Linked DNA regions of Ovis aries. Each later gene encodes a partner of the first gene's protein in a complex. Links are inferred from orthologs where the notes say so. Each region holds a gene or a part of one and is shown in the gene's direction. Other genes may lie near its edges. The genes, in order: PTEN, SNTG1, PARD3 and MAST2.

What was found.
Region 2: the proteins of PTEN (region 1) and SNTG1 are in contact, whole or in part, in a crystal structure (PDB 7PC7), measured with the Homo sapiens proteins. The link is inferred for Ovis aries from reciprocal best matches to the Homo sapiens genes PTEN and SNTG1. Residues at the interface, in NP_000305.3 of Homo sapiens: Asp395, Gln396, His397, Thr398, Gln399, Ile400, Thr401, Lys402, Val403; in NP_001274742.1 of Homo sapiens: Gly67, Phe68, Gly69, Leu70, Ser71, Ile72, Lys73, Gly74, Glu77, His78, Ser85, Lys86, Ile87, Ser88, His118, Val122, Leu125, Arg126.
Region 3: the proteins of PTEN (region 1) and PARD3 are in contact, whole or in part, in an NMR structure (PDB 2K20), measured with the Rattus norvegicus proteins. The link is inferred for Ovis aries from reciprocal best matches to the Homo sapiens genes PTEN and PARD3. Residues at the interface, in NP_113794.1 of Rattus norvegicus: Asp393, Glu394, Asp395, Ser398, Gln399, Ile400, Thr401, Lys402, Val403; in NP_112514.1 of Rattus norvegicus: Ala599, Gly600, Leu601, Gly602, Val603, Ser604, Val605, Lys606, Gly607, Asn608, Arg609, Ser610, Lys611, His614, Lys622, Ile625, Met659, Leu662, Arg663, Met666.
Region 4: the proteins of PTEN (region 1) and MAST2 are in contact, whole or in part, in an NMR structure (PDB 2KYL), measured with the Homo sapiens proteins. The link is inferred for Ovis aries from reciprocal best matches to the Homo sapiens genes PTEN and MAST2. Residues at the interface, in NP_000305.3 of Homo sapiens: Pro391, Phe392, Asp393, Glu394, Asp395, Gln396, His397, Thr398, Gln399, Ile400, Thr401, Lys402, Val403; in NP_055927.2 of Homo sapiens: Lys1112, Lys1113, Tyr1114, Gly1115, Phe1116, Thr1117, Leu1118, Arg1119, Ala1120, Ile1121, Arg1122, Val1123, Tyr1124, Met1136, Trp1138, Glu1141, His1170, Val1174, Ile1177, Leu1178, Leu1191.

What each region holds. Positions count from the first base shown.
Region 1 is NC_056075.1:9,336,009-9,339,571, forward strand, and holds part of PTEN (phosphatidylinositol 3,4,5-trisphosphate 3-phosphatase and dual-specificity protein phosphatase PTEN), read left to right. Parts: intron 1-1,306; coding exon 1,307-1,492; 3' UTR 1,493-3,563. UniProt on the Homo sapiens protein: Dual-specificity protein phosphatase, dephosphorylating tyrosine-, serine- and threonine-phosphorylated proteins.
Region 2 is NC_056062.1:33,673,510-33,677,072, forward strand, and holds part of SNTG1 (gamma-1-syntrophin), read left to right. Parts: intron 1-584; coding exon 585-737; intron 738-3,563. UniProt on the Homo sapiens protein: Adapter protein that binds to and probably organizes the subcellular localization of a variety of proteins. May link various receptors to the actin cytoskeleton and the dystrophin glycoprotein complex.
Region 3 is NC_056066.1:17,895,062-17,899,148, forward strand, and holds the start of PARD3 (partitioning defective 3 homolog), read left to right. Parts: upstream 1-1,273; 5' UTR 1,274-4,087. UniProt on the Homo sapiens protein: Adapter protein involved in asymmetrical cell division and cell polarization processes. Seems to play a central role in the formation of epithelial tight junctions. Targets the phosphatase PTEN to cell junctions.
Region 4 is NC_056054.1:20,409,359-20,413,597, forward strand, and holds the start of MAST2 (microtubule-associated serine/threonine-protein kinase 2), read left to right. Parts: upstream 1-1,389; 5' UTR 1,390-1,714; coding exon 1,715-1,912; intron 1,913-4,239. UniProt on the Homo sapiens protein: Appears to link the dystrophin/utrophin network with microtubule filaments via the syntrophins. Phosphorylation of DMD or UTRN may modulate their affinities for associated proteins. Functions in a multi-protein complex in spermatid maturation.

The sequences.
Region 1 (3,563 bases):
AAGAGGGGCTACCTGTTTCAAGTGAAAATGGAGCTAATAAGTACCTTTAGATCTTATAATTAAAGTGTTTTGAAGTGTCTTTTAGAATTTGTAAGTTTGTTTACTTTCTTTTCTCTGTGAACATTTTCCTCAGTTACTAGCTTTTAACGTGTGACTTCCTCTAATTTTATTTTTTTGTTTTAATGTTACAAGAGGTTTTATATTTATTATTACAAATAAAAGCTATTGCAGTTATCAGCAAACACATATAATATCATATAATGGTAAGTGCTTTGGAAAAATAAAGCAGAGATAGGAGAGAGAGTGGCCTTGGTGTATTTTTTAGTGGGATGGTTAGAGAAGGCCTCTCCAAGAAGTTGACTTTAATTAGAGGCCTAAGTGAAATGAGGGAGCTATAAAATACCTGGGAAAAGAGGAAAGAGCAGGTGTAGGAACCCTGGGACAAGAGTGAGCTTAGTGTATTTGAAGAGCAATAGATAAGAAATCATTTTGACTAACACACATCAGTCCAAGTGTGAATACATTGAGTGTGTTCTCCACAGGAGAGAGGTAATCTGATTTTTGTCTTTAAAAGTTTACTCTGTCCTCTCCTTTAAAATAAAGGCAAGAGGAGGGCAAGAATGAAAGCTAGGACACTATAATAGCCTGATCAAAGAATTGGATGTCAGATCTAATTTAAATCCCATGTCCACTGCCTACTAGATATGTGGCCTTTAGCAAGTGTCCTAGCCTTGCTGAACTATAGCTTTCTCTCTTTTAAAACAGAAAGACCTATCCTGTAGAGTTGTTTTGACAGTTATTTCACCTCTGCTTATAAAGGTTGTTGGTTCACTATTTAGAGCACTGTATGATATTAACTTTTTTATTACTCCCTTTCAGTGAAGTTTTTAGGGTGAATGGAATCCTAAACATCATTGTTAATATTATCTGTATTAGAAAATACATTGAATTTCAGACAGGCTGTAAGTGAAATATTCTTTTGAAACTCAACTCTATGTGAGTTGAATTTTGTGATCGAAAAAATATTATGTGGACTATTGAAATCAGTACCTTTCTTTTGTAGAATTATTTCATTAATGCCTGTAGTTTATGCTTATTTAAAAAAACACATAGTATATTAACATCCCAGTTTCTTTTCAGTGTATGCCAAGAAAGAAAATGTAGGAAATCTTGAGAAGGTCATTGAAAAGGCTCTTTAAGGGTTATGTATGTCATAGTACTTAAAAATGAATCCGATAAAGATATGTATCTTTGAGAGTGGTCAGATTTATGGATTTTCCATTTACACTTTCTCTTCTTTCTCTAGGTGAAGCTGTACTTCACAAAAACAGTAGAGGAGTCATCAAATCCAGAGGCTAGCAGTTCAACGTCTGTAACACCAGATGTCAGTGACAATGAACCTGATCATTACAGATATTCTGACACCACTGACTCTGACCCAGAGAATGAACCTTTTGATGAAGATCAGCATACACAAATTACAAAAGTCTGATTTTTTTTTTTTATCAAGAGGGATAAAACACCATGAAAACAAACTTGAATAAACTGAAAATGGACCTTTTTTTTTTTTTTTTTAAATGGCAATAGGACATTGTGTCAGATTACCAGTTATAGGAACAATTCTCTTTTCCTGACCAATCTTGTTTTACCCTATACATCCACAGGGTTTTGACACTTGTTGTCCAGTTGAAAAAAGATTGTGTAGTGTCATGTATATACCTTTTTGTGTCAAAAGGACATTTAAAATTCAATTAGGATGAATAAAGATGGCACTTTCCCATTTTATTCCAGTTTTATAAAAAGTGGAGACAGACTGATGTGTATACGTAGGAATTTCTCATTTTGTGTTCTGTCACCAACTGAAGTGGCTAAAGAGCTTTGTGATACACAGGTTCACATCCTACCCCTTTGCACTTGTGGCAACAGATAAGTTTGCAGTTGGCTAAGAGGAGTTTCTAAAAGGTTTTGCTACATTCTAATGCATGTATTCGGGTTAGGGGAACGGAGGGAATGCTCAGAAAGGCATTTGTTGTGTGCTGGATTCTGGACCATATACCATCTCCAGCTATTTACACGCACCTTTCTTTAGCATGCTACAGTTATTAATCTGGACGTTTGAAGAATTGGCCGCTGTCACTGCTTGTTATTTGTGCATTTTATTTTTTTTAAGCATATTGGTGCTAGAAAAGGCAGCTAGAGGGAGTGAATCTGTATTGGGGTACAGGAATGAACCTTCCACAACATCTTAAGAATCCACAAATGAAGGGATATAAAAGTAATGTGGTCATAGATAAGAAACACAGCAACAATGACTTAACCATACAAATGTGGAGGCTATCAACAAAGAATGGGCTTGAAACATTATAAAAATCGACAATGATTTATTAAATATGTTTTCTCAGTTGTAATGACTGCTCCATCTCCTGTGTAATCAAGGCCAGTGCTAAAAGTCAGATGCTATTAGTACCTACATCAGTCAACAACTTACACTTATGTTATTAGTTTTCAATCATGTACCTGCTGTGGATGCTTCATGTGCTGCCTACAAGCTTCTTTTTTCTCATTAAATATACAATATTTTGTAATGCTGCACAGGAAATTTCAATTTGAGATTCTACAGTAAGCGGTTTTTTTTTTTCTTTAAAAATTTATGATGCACTTATTCAATCCAATAGATGTCAGCCGTTCCACCCTTTTGACCTTACACATTCTATTACAATGAGTTTTGCAGTTTTGCACATTTTTTAAATGTCATTAACTGTTAGGGAATTTTACTTGAATATTGAATACATATAATGTTTATATTTAAAAGGACGTTATTTGTGTTAAAAAGGAAATTAGAGTTGCAGTAAATTTTCAACACTGCACAAATAATAAGTCATTTACTTTTTCAGTAGAAATTGTCCCACATAATGCTTTTATCAATTTGCTATTGAAAGAATAGATTTTTTTAAATGTGCAGTGTTGAATCATTTCTTCATAGTGCTAGAGTTAGGATTAGGGCTTCAATTTCACTTCTTAAATATCATATATTTGATATGCCCAGACTGCATATGATTTTAAGCAGAGTACAACTACTATTGTAAAGTTAATGTGAAGATATGATTAAAAATAATTTTTTTCCCAGAAATTTGATATCTTTCAAATTACACCTTGACCTTGAAATGTTTGACTATCCAGCCAATTTATTTCTTAATGGTGTAAAATCTCATTTTCAATAACTTATTGGTGCTGAAATTGTTCACTAGCTGTGGTCTGACCTAGTTAATTTACAAATACAGATTGCGTAGGACCTACTAGAGCAGCATTTATAGAGTTTGATGGTAAATAGATTAGGCAGAGCTTCATCTAAAATATTCTTTGGAAAATGATCTTGACATGTTTTCCATACCTTGTCAGTTTCATTCAAAAAATAAGGTTTTAAAGTTTTTTAACAAAGCGGTTAGTATTTACACATTGATATTTAAACATTGATATGTAGAGAATTGATTGACTGCTCATAAGTTAAATTGGTAAAGTTAGAGACACCTATTCCTCAGCTCTCATCATTGAAATTTATCTCA
Region 2 (3,563 bases), on another chromosome or scaffold:
AAAGTCCTTTTGACTTAATGAATTACAGTTATGTAAGTAAGGGCAGCAAGTAAGGGAAATGTGTAGCTTTTAAAAAGCAGTAAAATTTCTGAAACATGTTAGACTCAGTTTTTTCATGTCTCAGCTAATAGAATATTCCCATGATAGTTTAAGGATTATAGAAATCAACTCAGTAAAAGATACCATGCTTATAATCGCCTTAAAACTTATAAATTACATTAATAAGTATTGCTTAATCTCATCATCTTCACAGCTCTGGAAGGAAAAAGGAGCATTGTGTGTTATCCACCTGTCCAGTGAGAAATGGAATCTCATGCAGTCAATGCTTTGATAACTACTCTTGCTAGGAAGAGTTGAAGCCAGAAATTCTTCAGTGTCAGTTCAGAAAGGAAATGTGTCAGTTATGGACTTTGAGGACTGGAAATTGTCCTCTGTGACCATTGTAATGAAGAATTAGTGATTTCAGAGGGTAGAATCCTTGTTACTACAGCGTCTCCACCACACAGTGGTCAACACTGACCCAGGGGTGACTGGGTCAGTAGCTCAAGTATGTGCCAGTCTGCATAACTCCAAGTTTCCATCAGGACAGTGACCTGCTGGACCGGCGGAGACACTGCTTCACTGTGCAGTCCGAGTCTGGGGAGGACCTGTACTTCTCAGTGGAGCTCGACTCTGACCTTGCCCAGTGGGAACGAGCCTTCCAAACAGCAACCTTCCTGGAGGTGGAGCGGATACAGGTGAGGGTCTGTGAAAGCAGAGGACCTGTGATCCCCAGGATGCATGACCCCTCCCTAGAGTTCTGATATAAATTCAAGTGAACATGAAAATCCAGTTCTGTGAGGCTCAAATGTTCAGTCATTGGCCATTGTTTAAATGAGGTGCAACACAACTCTGAAAGCATTTTAATTTTTCTATAATTTGATCTTTCTAGCCTATTTCCTACCACCCATCAAAAACACCTTTCTAAATTTAATTAGAATCTTGCTGTTGTTGTTCAGTCAGTGAGTTGTGTCCGACTCTTTGCAACCCCATGGACTGCAGCACTCCAGGCTTCCCTGTCCATCACCATCTCCTAGAGCTTGCTCAAACTCACGTCACTGAGTTGGTGATGCCATCCGTCCATCTCATCCTCTGTCATCCCCTTCTCCTCCTGCCTGCAATCTTTCCCAGCATCAGGATCTTTTCTAATGAGTTGGCTCTTCACATTAGGTGCCCAAAGTATTGGAGCTTCAGGTTCAGCGTCAGTCCTTCCAGTGAACGCTCAGGACTGATCTCCTTTAGGATAGACTGGATCTCCTTGCAGTCCAAGGGACTCTGAAGCATCTTCTCCAACACCTCAGTTTAAAAGCATCAATTCTTTGGCACTCAGCCTTCTTTATGGCCAAACTCTGACATCCATACATGACATCTAAAACAGAAATGTTCTTACTTTAATTAATTGTTTACAAAAGCCATTTCCTGGTCTCCAATCACAACCACTTAATTTCCAGCCAGAATGATTTTATTCACTCACAAGTCTCTTTCTTGCTGGAAAGCCTTGTATTCATCACTACCCTCCAAAACCACACAGATGAATTTGAAGTCTTCTCAGAGGTCACACCAGGGAGGACGATTTTCCTGACTCCCAGTCTGCCCTGCCATGTGCCCACCACTGTTCCTCCTCATCGGTCCTATTCAAGCTTGCCCCCAACCACCTCCAGAATGCAGTATCTCTTTTGTCTTTTTCCGTAGGTCTGTCCACACTCTGCATGAGTTGGAGTGATCTGTATTTGTTTTTCTCACACTGAGTTGTAGGTTTCTGGGAGTATTTTATTTCTCTACTGACTGAAGTCAGTGCATTTTGTACTCACAAGTAATCAGCAGGTGTTTACTAAACTTTATTTCTTATATGTGAAATGTCTGATGGCAACAACACATCATTATTATCTGGATAGTTGCCTGTAACAATGGACCTGGATGCATACTTTTCCAATTACATTGAACTGATTTGTGACATGTATTAATTTTTTTCTGACTACAAATTTTTATATTCAATCCATCAAGTCACAACAATGTGACATGACAATCAGGGGAAGAGACAAGGAGAAGACTCATTTATCATTTTTTCATTGCTCAATTAACATTTTCTAATATTTTGCTGATATGCATGTATCTAAAAATGTTAAAGTAACTAAGACATGTTGTTTCAATAATCTACTTGGATAGAACCTCAATTTAGTAAATAGATTTTTCATATCAAAAGTGGAAAGATGAGAAATATCTTAAATATTATTTTATTAATATTGTAAGTGTCAACCCCTAAGACTATTTTAAAGCATTTTATGAAGCTGTATAGGAGTTGACTTTTTTTAACTTATTTTGATAGTTTTAGGTTTTCCTTATTATCATTTCGCTGGAATATTACACTTCACTTGGAAACAAATACACAGCAATTTCTACTTGCTGGTTTCAATTTAAGATTTTCAAGTCTCTAATGTTTAGAAATGAGATAGAGATAAAATTGTGTTGTTTCATTCTATTTTACTTTTTTTAAACTTGGACCTCATATTCTATAAGCTGACGTCCTGAGCAATGCATTTTTTTGACTGGCACCTTACATATTCACAATAGGAATTTAAGATGCATATATAAGTGAAAGTAAAATAGTTAATGTCTTTTTAGCTTTTTGTTGTTTTGCGCATTTTATAACTTCCCCTTGTGTGCTCCACCAGAAATAACCAATGACTGGTCACTGTGCATCTGTTATTTTCAAAATTCAAGCATGTAAAAATATGTACATGAAGAAGTTTATGTGTTTTACTCTTATTTCCTAGTATTTCCACTTCAACTAAAGTTGATAATTAAATGAAATAAAGAGGAGACACGTCTCATTGTGAAACAGGTGTTTCGTTGTTGTTCAGTCGCTCAGTCGTGTCTGATCCTTTGTGATCCCACGGACTGCAGCACACCAGACTACCCTGGCCTTCACGTCTCCTGGAGCTTATTCAAACTCATGTCCAGTGAGTTGATGAATTACTAAGAATTAATAAATTATGTTTATTTTGAAATCAGTTTTCATTAAGAAGACTGCATTTTAACACTTTCTACCTTCTAATCTATTCCTTTATCTATTTAAATATTTTCTGATCACTAATGTACTTAGTATTCATGCAAATATCTATATATTTATTTAATAGATAATTAACTGTTGGAGATATTTCTAAACATCCTAATTGTCATTTAAATTAGCATCTTAAAATTTAACCATACTTCCCAGGGTGACAGAAGAAAATGTAATGAACATCAAAAATTAACATTTTATATTAATCAAAATATGACAATTTATATGAATTACAACTTACATTTCCCTAGTATTCAAAGTACCACAATTAAGCCTAGTTAATTTACTGTTATTTTTAGTTTTTATTTGTACAGTTTTTGAAACATTTCCCCAGAGTAAGTGAATAAAATGGTAAGGCATGGATAATTATTGTTTACTTTACACTAATTCAATCTAAAATAATACAGCCTTTTTAAAATAAGGCTTTCAGTGAAGTGTATAACATTCAAAAATTGATTTCTCT
Region 3 (4,087 bases), on another chromosome or scaffold:
AATCCACCTACTTGTTAGATCTCTCACATTCTTCTTCAGTTTTGTCCCGATGGTGAAAGCGTGGCTTCTCACAGCTCCAGGAGATGATGCTCCGGCAGCCTCTGTGGCTTGAGCAGTGGAACCTCAATGCCTTGCTGTCCTGTTGATCTTGTGGGGATTGAGTTCCCTGATCACTTGCTCATCCCTTGCGCACACTGGACACTCCCAGGGAGGTGGACCCCCCTCCCACCACCTCTCAGCCCCAATCCTGCCCTGCCTCATCCAACTTAGCATGCTCACCCTGTCTTTGGAGAAAAGGGGTCAGTTTTTTTGTGTCCTCCTGCTTGCCATCTTGCTAAACCCAGGTGCCAGTCAAACATCCCTGCAGCATTAGCCTCCATCACTTTCCTTCTTTTCATATGGTTTAATTTACACTGTATTCTTTCCACAGTTGTTTGACTGTTTTCAAAAACAGCATGGATAGAAAGAAACCTAATTTGAAGGTTAGAATTCTGTTATTTTTAGAATGCAGCCTCCTCAGCCCTGGAATTGATTTCATTTGGTTGTCACTGGTCTTTGTGGAGAGTGAACCTGGCTTAGGATTCACATGTAACCTAGTCAAGTTGCTTCAGTGTTGTATTACTTTGCATAAGCTTTGTCAAGGGGGCGTGAATATTTGCTGTAGATTCAGAGTTAATGCATCGCCCTTCTCAAGGTACTTCCATTGTCCTTCTGCTGTGATGGGGCTCAAAACTGCGTCAAGTGCCCTGAAATCAGTCTGAAAAGTTCTTAGTTCATAACATTGTGACTTCTCATTAAATGGCAGTGACAGTCCTTAAAGGCATATTATCTTATTTAAATTATGATGAGTTTTGCTTTCCTAAATCAGTGGGCGCAATTTTAGGACTCTAGTGGCATTTATATGTGTATATATAGGTATTATTTTAGGTGCGTTGAGAAGAATTCTTGACAAGGTACAAAATGGCATCAATTCCAAGGCACTTTTTTTTTTTTTTTCCCAAAAAGTAAGGGGAAAAAAAGAAAAGCGAGTGTCAGTAGTCTACACTTGATTTATATTTACTGTGGGAGCAATGGTTTCCCATATATCTTACACCATAAACTGAAATTTTGGTGCCAGTACCCTGGTGTGCGGTTCTATCCAGAATGGAGACAGGTTTTTGCAGGGATGTCATGTGACTGTGAGATGGGCCCCAGAGACGCTTTGTGTCAAAACAAATACTCACCTGGTCCAAATGGAGTTTGCCCCTTGTTTGTTGATTGGAGATTTTTAGTTAAGAATGGGCTCTGGTGTTCAGATGCTTGGATATGTTGATGTTATGCTGCTTCAGTCTCCTGTGTGCTGGTTCAGGCTCTGCTGTGATGTGAACAGAGCCCTGTCTTGGTGTTGGGAGGTGGTCAGAGGGCTGGGCTGGACACGCCTGAGGCCGCCAGTATGTGGGGCTGGTGACTGAAAGGTGGGGGTGCTTCTCTGGCTCACATAGCACATGTCAGACGGGTTTTCTGTTTTCCTTGTGGAGTTTTGTTGACCTGCTTTTCACTTTAGTCTGTTGATAAACAGGAAGTGCTGTTGCAGGGCTGAGAGGGGGTGTCTGAAGGACTTTTACTGTTAAGCCCATATAGGATTTCATTTTAAAAAGAGGAGAGGTGAGGGGTTGGAGAATGTAACCCAAGATAATCCCACAATCCTTAGTTTTGGGATTTTAACCAGTGTGATTTGCGGTCTTTCAAAATGCTTGTTGGATCTCGAACTGTGGGTCCACACCTGCAGCTTCTGTGGGTGGCAGCTTGCTTAAATAGTTGTTTAGAGCAAACACGAAGCTGGAGATGATGTTTGGGTTGGGGGCTTGAGTGTCCGTGATTCCCGCTCAGGTTTAGAGAGCCTCTTCTGCAGCCTGGCCCCCAGAGTTCCTGTGTGTGCGCCTCAGCTCTCCACATCCCGGTCCTGTGAAGAGAGGAGTCGGGTACAAGACAGGTGCTGAGGGGGTGTGTGTGTGTGCTGTCTGGGCTTTACTCCCCACTGTCCAAACATGCCATGTACATCTTGGCCTCCTCACCTTTGTCTGAAGACGTCCCCCACTTGAGGGGGCGTAATTCCTTTGTGAAGTGTTCTTTGTCTCTATTTGTTTTTGTAATTCCTGTACCACTTGATTGGCATTTAATTTTGATACCTAGGAATTGTTAGTGAACTTTCCACACACCTGTGGTTTCCCTCCCAAAGTTGATTTGAAGTCTTGGCGGGCACGGGCCTCCATAGACCTGGCTGGACCCCTTTATCCTAAAACACAAGCTCAACTTTGAGACTGAGTGTTAAGGTTTTCATTGGCTGGTGGCGTGTCACATGCCAGCCTGTCACCTGCAGCTGTTAAACTGGGTAATGAGAGCGCAGTGTTTTCAGTCATTAGGAGCCGCTGAGTGGATGTTCTTCCCTATCCTCGACTGTTCCTGCTGGCAGGAGTCTTTAGCTTGGATGGGCCTGTGGCCTTGCTCCCTGCTTCCTAATCTGGATGGTGCAGAGCGTGGTCCTGCTGCCATCAGGAGGCTCCCTGTGTTTGGAAAGGTGGATGGATTGACAGCTCAGAACTCTGCTACTGCCAAGACATGTGTCTGTAAACACGTGCTCAGCAGAGGATGGTGTAGGTAGGGGAGGTTAGGTAGTTTTAATTTTGTATGATGAGTTGCTTTCAAGATCAGATTATGGTGGTTGTGAAAATGCTTATCTTCCCTCCACTTTGAAAAGGAGAGCTATTTGGAGTGTGTTCAATTTTTGTGTCTGCTTGAGCAATGTGTGACCCTCAGTGACAACGTACCTCCTTCATTGCTACACACATGGCCTCGAGTGTCTGCAGGTGGGAAATGACTGCATCGTTGGGCCACTGAGTCCATGGGGTCTTTTTTTTCACTGCCTTCTCGTTGTTGCTCTTGGTAGACGGGCTACATGCCTGTGTCATTAAAGCTCTGCCTTTGTGCCCAGTCCACTGTATCTGTGCATCTTCAGTGCTTCACAAACCAGCCTTGCTTCTGTTTTGCTGTCTTCCCACCCTGCCTGATAAGTTTATAGTGACATGTCTTACTGTTGTTTGAGGTAGTCCATTTCATGCTTTAATTACTAGTTGTATAATTAGGTTTTGCCTGAGTTCCCAAACAGCTAATTTGTTTCTTTGCATCCATGCAGGATTTTTATCGGAGACTTTAGGTATGATGCAGAATATGTTGGGTCTGTGCCTGCTATATTTCCTGTTTTAGTGCTTCGATTGCACAGCTTAGCATTTTGTTTTGTTTCTTTGGGAACACTGTGCACTATATTTTCTTAGAAGTAGTACATTGAAGGCACAGTTAACTAAATTTCAAATGCCTCATAACGGAAAACTTTACAAGGACAGCAAACTAACTGTGTATCTAAGGGATTAGGAAACGATATGGCGTTAACCTCTATAATCTGCTCACATATTTCATAAGGTATCTTGAAGCCCTTTCTTTCAAATTCCCCCATTTCAAATCAATTTGAAATTGACCAGATAAAGCCAGATAAGTTTGTGAGTCACACTAGGGATTTTCAAGGAAAAATTTTAAGTGCGAACACACTTGGAAACCTATGAGTTAGCAAAGGAATACAAATTGACCTTTGGTATTGGGTCACCAGTAACACCGATGAGTTTTAGGGTGTGGGGCTGTGTTTAAGTGACTTGGGGCTAGGGACCATTTGCTGCTGTAACCCTGTGTCTGTTCAGTGCCTGCCATCGAGTAGATGCTCCTTGAGTGTGTGAATCAGGTCCTGAGGCTTGATTAGGGTGATACTGTAAACATGCACATCTTCCAGACACTGTTGTGAGTGCCGTGGAGAGACAGGGCAGGAGACAAAATGAGACTGGAGGCTGCTGCTGTGCAGGGTAGATGTTAGCAGGCACTGACATTTGGGTGAGCTTTCCCCGGGGTTTCCAGGAGGGGCCCAGCGAGCTATAGCAAGTCCGAGTGACAAGGAGACCCCGTGCATTCACTGGCCCGGGTCTCGGTGTTCGTGGTGACTGTGTGCTTTGTCTGTCTGTCGCTCTCTTCTCTGCTGAAAATCATCCTAAAAGCTGATGCAGGT
Region 4 (4,239 bases), on another chromosome or scaffold:
AAGAGCAGATTGTCGATTGGCTGTAGAAACATCGGTTGTGTGTATAGGCTCTGATATCTGATAGACCTTGGTCTGAGTCCTCGCTCTGCACTTATTAGCTGTGTCATATTGAGCATTTCATGTAACTTGAACCTCAGTTTCCTCAACTGTAAACTGGAAATTATACAACTTACCTCTTGTTCACATATGTGTGAATTGAATGCACACTGACTGGTATCCAGTGAAAGTGAAGTCACTCAGTCGTGACCGACTCTTTGCGACCCCACGGACTGTAGCCTACCAGGCTCCTCTGTCCATGGGATTTTCCAGGTAAGAGTACTGGAGTGGATTGCCATTTCCTTCTGCAGGGGATCTTCCCGACCCAGGGGTTGAACCCGGGTCTCCCTCATTGTAGACAGACGCTTTACCATCTGAGCCACCAGGGAAGTCGTTTTGCTATAATGTTAGTTATTACTGTCTTTCAAAAAAGGTTCAGGGAGGAGGCTTAGGAAAAAAAGGGTGACCCCTTAAGGAAATGCTTCTGTGAAAGCATTCCTGTCAAGTCAAAAGAGGAAAAATATGGTGCTGTGGCAGACCAGAAGCCAGAAGGAGGAGGCCAGACAGGGCTGAGCTACAGCCACATTGCTGAGCAGATGAGTCACTGAAAGTGGCAGGCTGAGCTGCCCAAGCCACAGCTGGACTTGCGGTGGCCAGGCTGGACTGGGCGATAATGTAACTACTTCGTTGTCAGTGGGGAATCATGGCGATGTTCTGGAAGCTTGTCTTCCCTTTCCCCTTGAAGGAATCTATTGCTTCTTCCCCTTTTATAGGACTTTCCACATCCTGTCTTACTTTTTGGAAGCAGCAGGAAACCGTGGAAAGAGTCAGAAAAGCCAGAATTTGAGTTCTGTCCAGCTTACTCAGTGACCTGGTGCATGTCACTTCTCGTCGGTCTTCTTATCTGTAACAGGAGAATGAACAGACCTGCCTTCAAAGTGTGATGTGACGATCAGATGACAGTTGGTTCGCAGATGCTGAACAAAAAGGCATGCATCCGTGTTCTGTTCACTAGTTGTCTCCTTTATCTTCTTGCTGCTCCTGGTCCTTCTCCACCTACTTCCCTGAGGACGTTGATCCGTTCTAATTCATTTTAGATTCGCACCACTTGGCTTGGCCTGGCACACAATTTCATGAATGGACGAAAGAAAGAATCAATGAACCGTCCGCGGCTACCACAGGCGCTTCGGGGCCCCGCCCCCTTCCGCTCTCCGCCCTCTCCCTCCCACACCACGCGGTGGGGCCAAGGGCGGGTCTCTCGCGACCGTTCGCTGGCGCGTGCGCGGGAGACGGCGCGCGGCCGGAGGTGGCGGGCGGGCTCCCGGTGCGCGCGCGCGAGGGGAAGGGAGGGGCGGGGCCCGGCCAGAGGCAGGCGGGCGGGCGGCTGGCTGTGGAGCCGGCGGCGGCGGCGGCGGCGGCGGGTGACCAGCCGAGCGTGTGCCGGCTGGGACAGGACGAGGCTGCGGCGATGCTGCCTCCTGCGTAAGGAGCGCCGAGGAGGCCGCGGCCCTTGAGGCCCCAGAAAGCGCGGAGGAGCTGCGGGCTGGGATCGGTGGCTTCGGGTGCCCGCCGGGCCATGGTGGCCGCGGGAGGTGGTTGGCGCGGTAGCGCTGCGGCCCGGGGAGGTGCGGGGCCGGGACAGTCGCGGCGCTGACGCCCGCAGGGCCCAGCCGCAGATATGAAGCGGAGCCGCTGCCGCGATCGACCGCAGCCGCCGCCGCCGCCGCCGCCGCCGGCAGCCGGCCGGGAGGATGGGGCTCAGCGGGCGGCGGAGCTGCCCCAGCCCCAGCCCCTGCCCCCGCGCCGGCGAGCGCCGCCCGGGAGGCAGCGACTGGAGGAGCGGACCGGGCCCGCAGGGCCCGAAGTCAGGGAGCAGGTAGGGCTGGCCGGGGTCTCGCAGGGAAAGGATGGGGAGGGGGAGCCTGAATGGGACTGATGGGGGAGGGCTGTCTCGGGCGGGAAGATTTGGGCTGGGGGAGTTGAAGGGGTGGGGATTGAATTGAAGTTGGGCAGGAGGAATGGGAGGTCTAGAGAGGCAGAAAAATGCGGAGTGGAGAAATGGAAGTATTAGTCTGGGGTTGAATGGGAAATGAGAGCGTAGGGATGAAAAATGGTCCTATGGGAGTTTGAGGTAAAGGGTTCTGGAGGAGAAGAAGAGACGCCGGAATGTGGGCTGGGAGTGAATGAAGTGCAAAGAATAGGTTTACTAAAGGGGTATGGAGGAATTATCCAGAGGGGCAAAAAATGTAAGGTAGGGACAGTCAGTGTGATATAGTAAATGTTATCTTATTTTCTCGAGGTTGCCTTGACAGTTGTGAAAAAGATGTCATTCCTAAGCATTCTCTGGTTTGGCCATCGTTATAGTCTTGTTGGAATATGTTCCTAGCCATTGTTAAAGTTCTCTCCAGTAATGATTCATTTCACGAGAAAGCACTTTTTAAAACATGTGCTTTGGGGATGCATGTATGCAATCCAAAGGAAGTACTGTGAGCAGAGAATTCATAGATTTAGTCTCTGCCTTATAGGAGTTTACCACTGAAAATATCTTAGTGGAAAAACATAGAAAGAAATGCAAAAAGTTCGTGGAGTTTCTGAATGGACAGGATGTGTTTATATATTAATTTTTTAATCAAGTGTGGGTTATTTAGAAGTAGGGGATAAAGGTCAGTTTTATGAGGGAGAAGTTGTCATTAGTAGCTGTAGGAAGTTCAGTGAGTACCTGCATGGTCCTTGATCTTGTGGGATTTACAGAAAAATGTATTGTAGTAATGGACTCCAGTGACAGCTTCCCTTTTGCACATACTATTCAAGACCCTACTGACTTCATCTTCGGAGATCTGAAGGGTCCTGGGTCCTGTTAGGTCTCCTGCCTAACAGGAGACCTTTCCTGTATGTTAAATAAGTATTTTCCATAGACATCATTATTATATAGTTTCAGTGATGCACATGTTAGCACTTGGACTTTCCCCCACTGTTGGTTTTTTATCTTGTATTCTCCACCCAGTGCTGAGTAGACTGTGCTATTGCTATCTTTGCCCTTACTTTGAGGCCGCTGAGCATTGTCCTCTTACTGTAATTTTCTCTCTCAACCTTGTCTTTTATATTCTCTGCAGTTCCTATTCAAAACATTTTAAAATGTACTTAAAACCCAGATCCTTTCCTGACTCAAGTTTACCTGGTCCAATTTACCTTATCCAGTGCTTCACTGAAGAGTTCAAGGTTACTTGATTTCTTCCCCTTTATCTCAGGATTTCTGTGTTCACTCATCCTTTTAAATCTCAAAGAAGGAAGTACTTATCCTCTTCCAGGCTAATTTCTCTATGTTTTTGATTTCATTCCCTCTTATCTTCTGTAGGCCCTTGTTGTCTTATACCTCAAATAAAAACAAAACAACAAGATTTCCATGAGTTTTGTAACCTACTTAAGCTACTTTGTAATCTCATTTTTGCTAACCAGCAACCTTCTTGAAAAATGAGTTTTTATATTCAGGAGTCTGAGAAAGCTCCAGGAGATGGTGAAGGACACAGAAGCCTGGCATGCTGCAGTCCATGGGGTTGCAGAATTGGACACAACTGAGTGACTGAACAACAGTTCACTGTCTCAGCTTCTTCACCTTATATACATTCCTCATATATTTGGCTTTTACACATAAACTCTCCCCAAACTGATGTCTTCAAGGTCATCAGTAACTTGTATGTTTGTTTATTTACTTTTTAATTGTGATGTGACTACAGAGTGCAAATCAAAGGTTCATTCAGCCCATGAATTTTTATAGAATGAATACACCTATGTCAGATAAGGATGTAGAACATTTCCAGTACCCTAGAATGTGCCTTTGTGTTTTCTCCCAGGTATTACTCATCTCTAGAGGTAACCACTCACCAGCCTCTATCAGCATGGATTAGTGTTGCCTCTTCTGAACTTCATATAAATTAAATCATTCAGCTTAACTCTTTTATGACTGTACTCTTTCATTCAGCTATGTCTGTAAGATTCATCTATGTTGTTTCTTTTAGAAAAAGCTTGTCCTTCTTCACTGCTGTATAGTTTTCCATTGTGTAAATGTACCATGATAGATGCTAAAACTTCCTTTTTTTAAGTTGAAAAATAATGTGTGGCTATTTGTTAAAAGTTTTCATTGTGAAAGAATTACATGGAAAGATTTGCAGCAGTCCTGGGGACCATAAAATGACTAAATCTGAT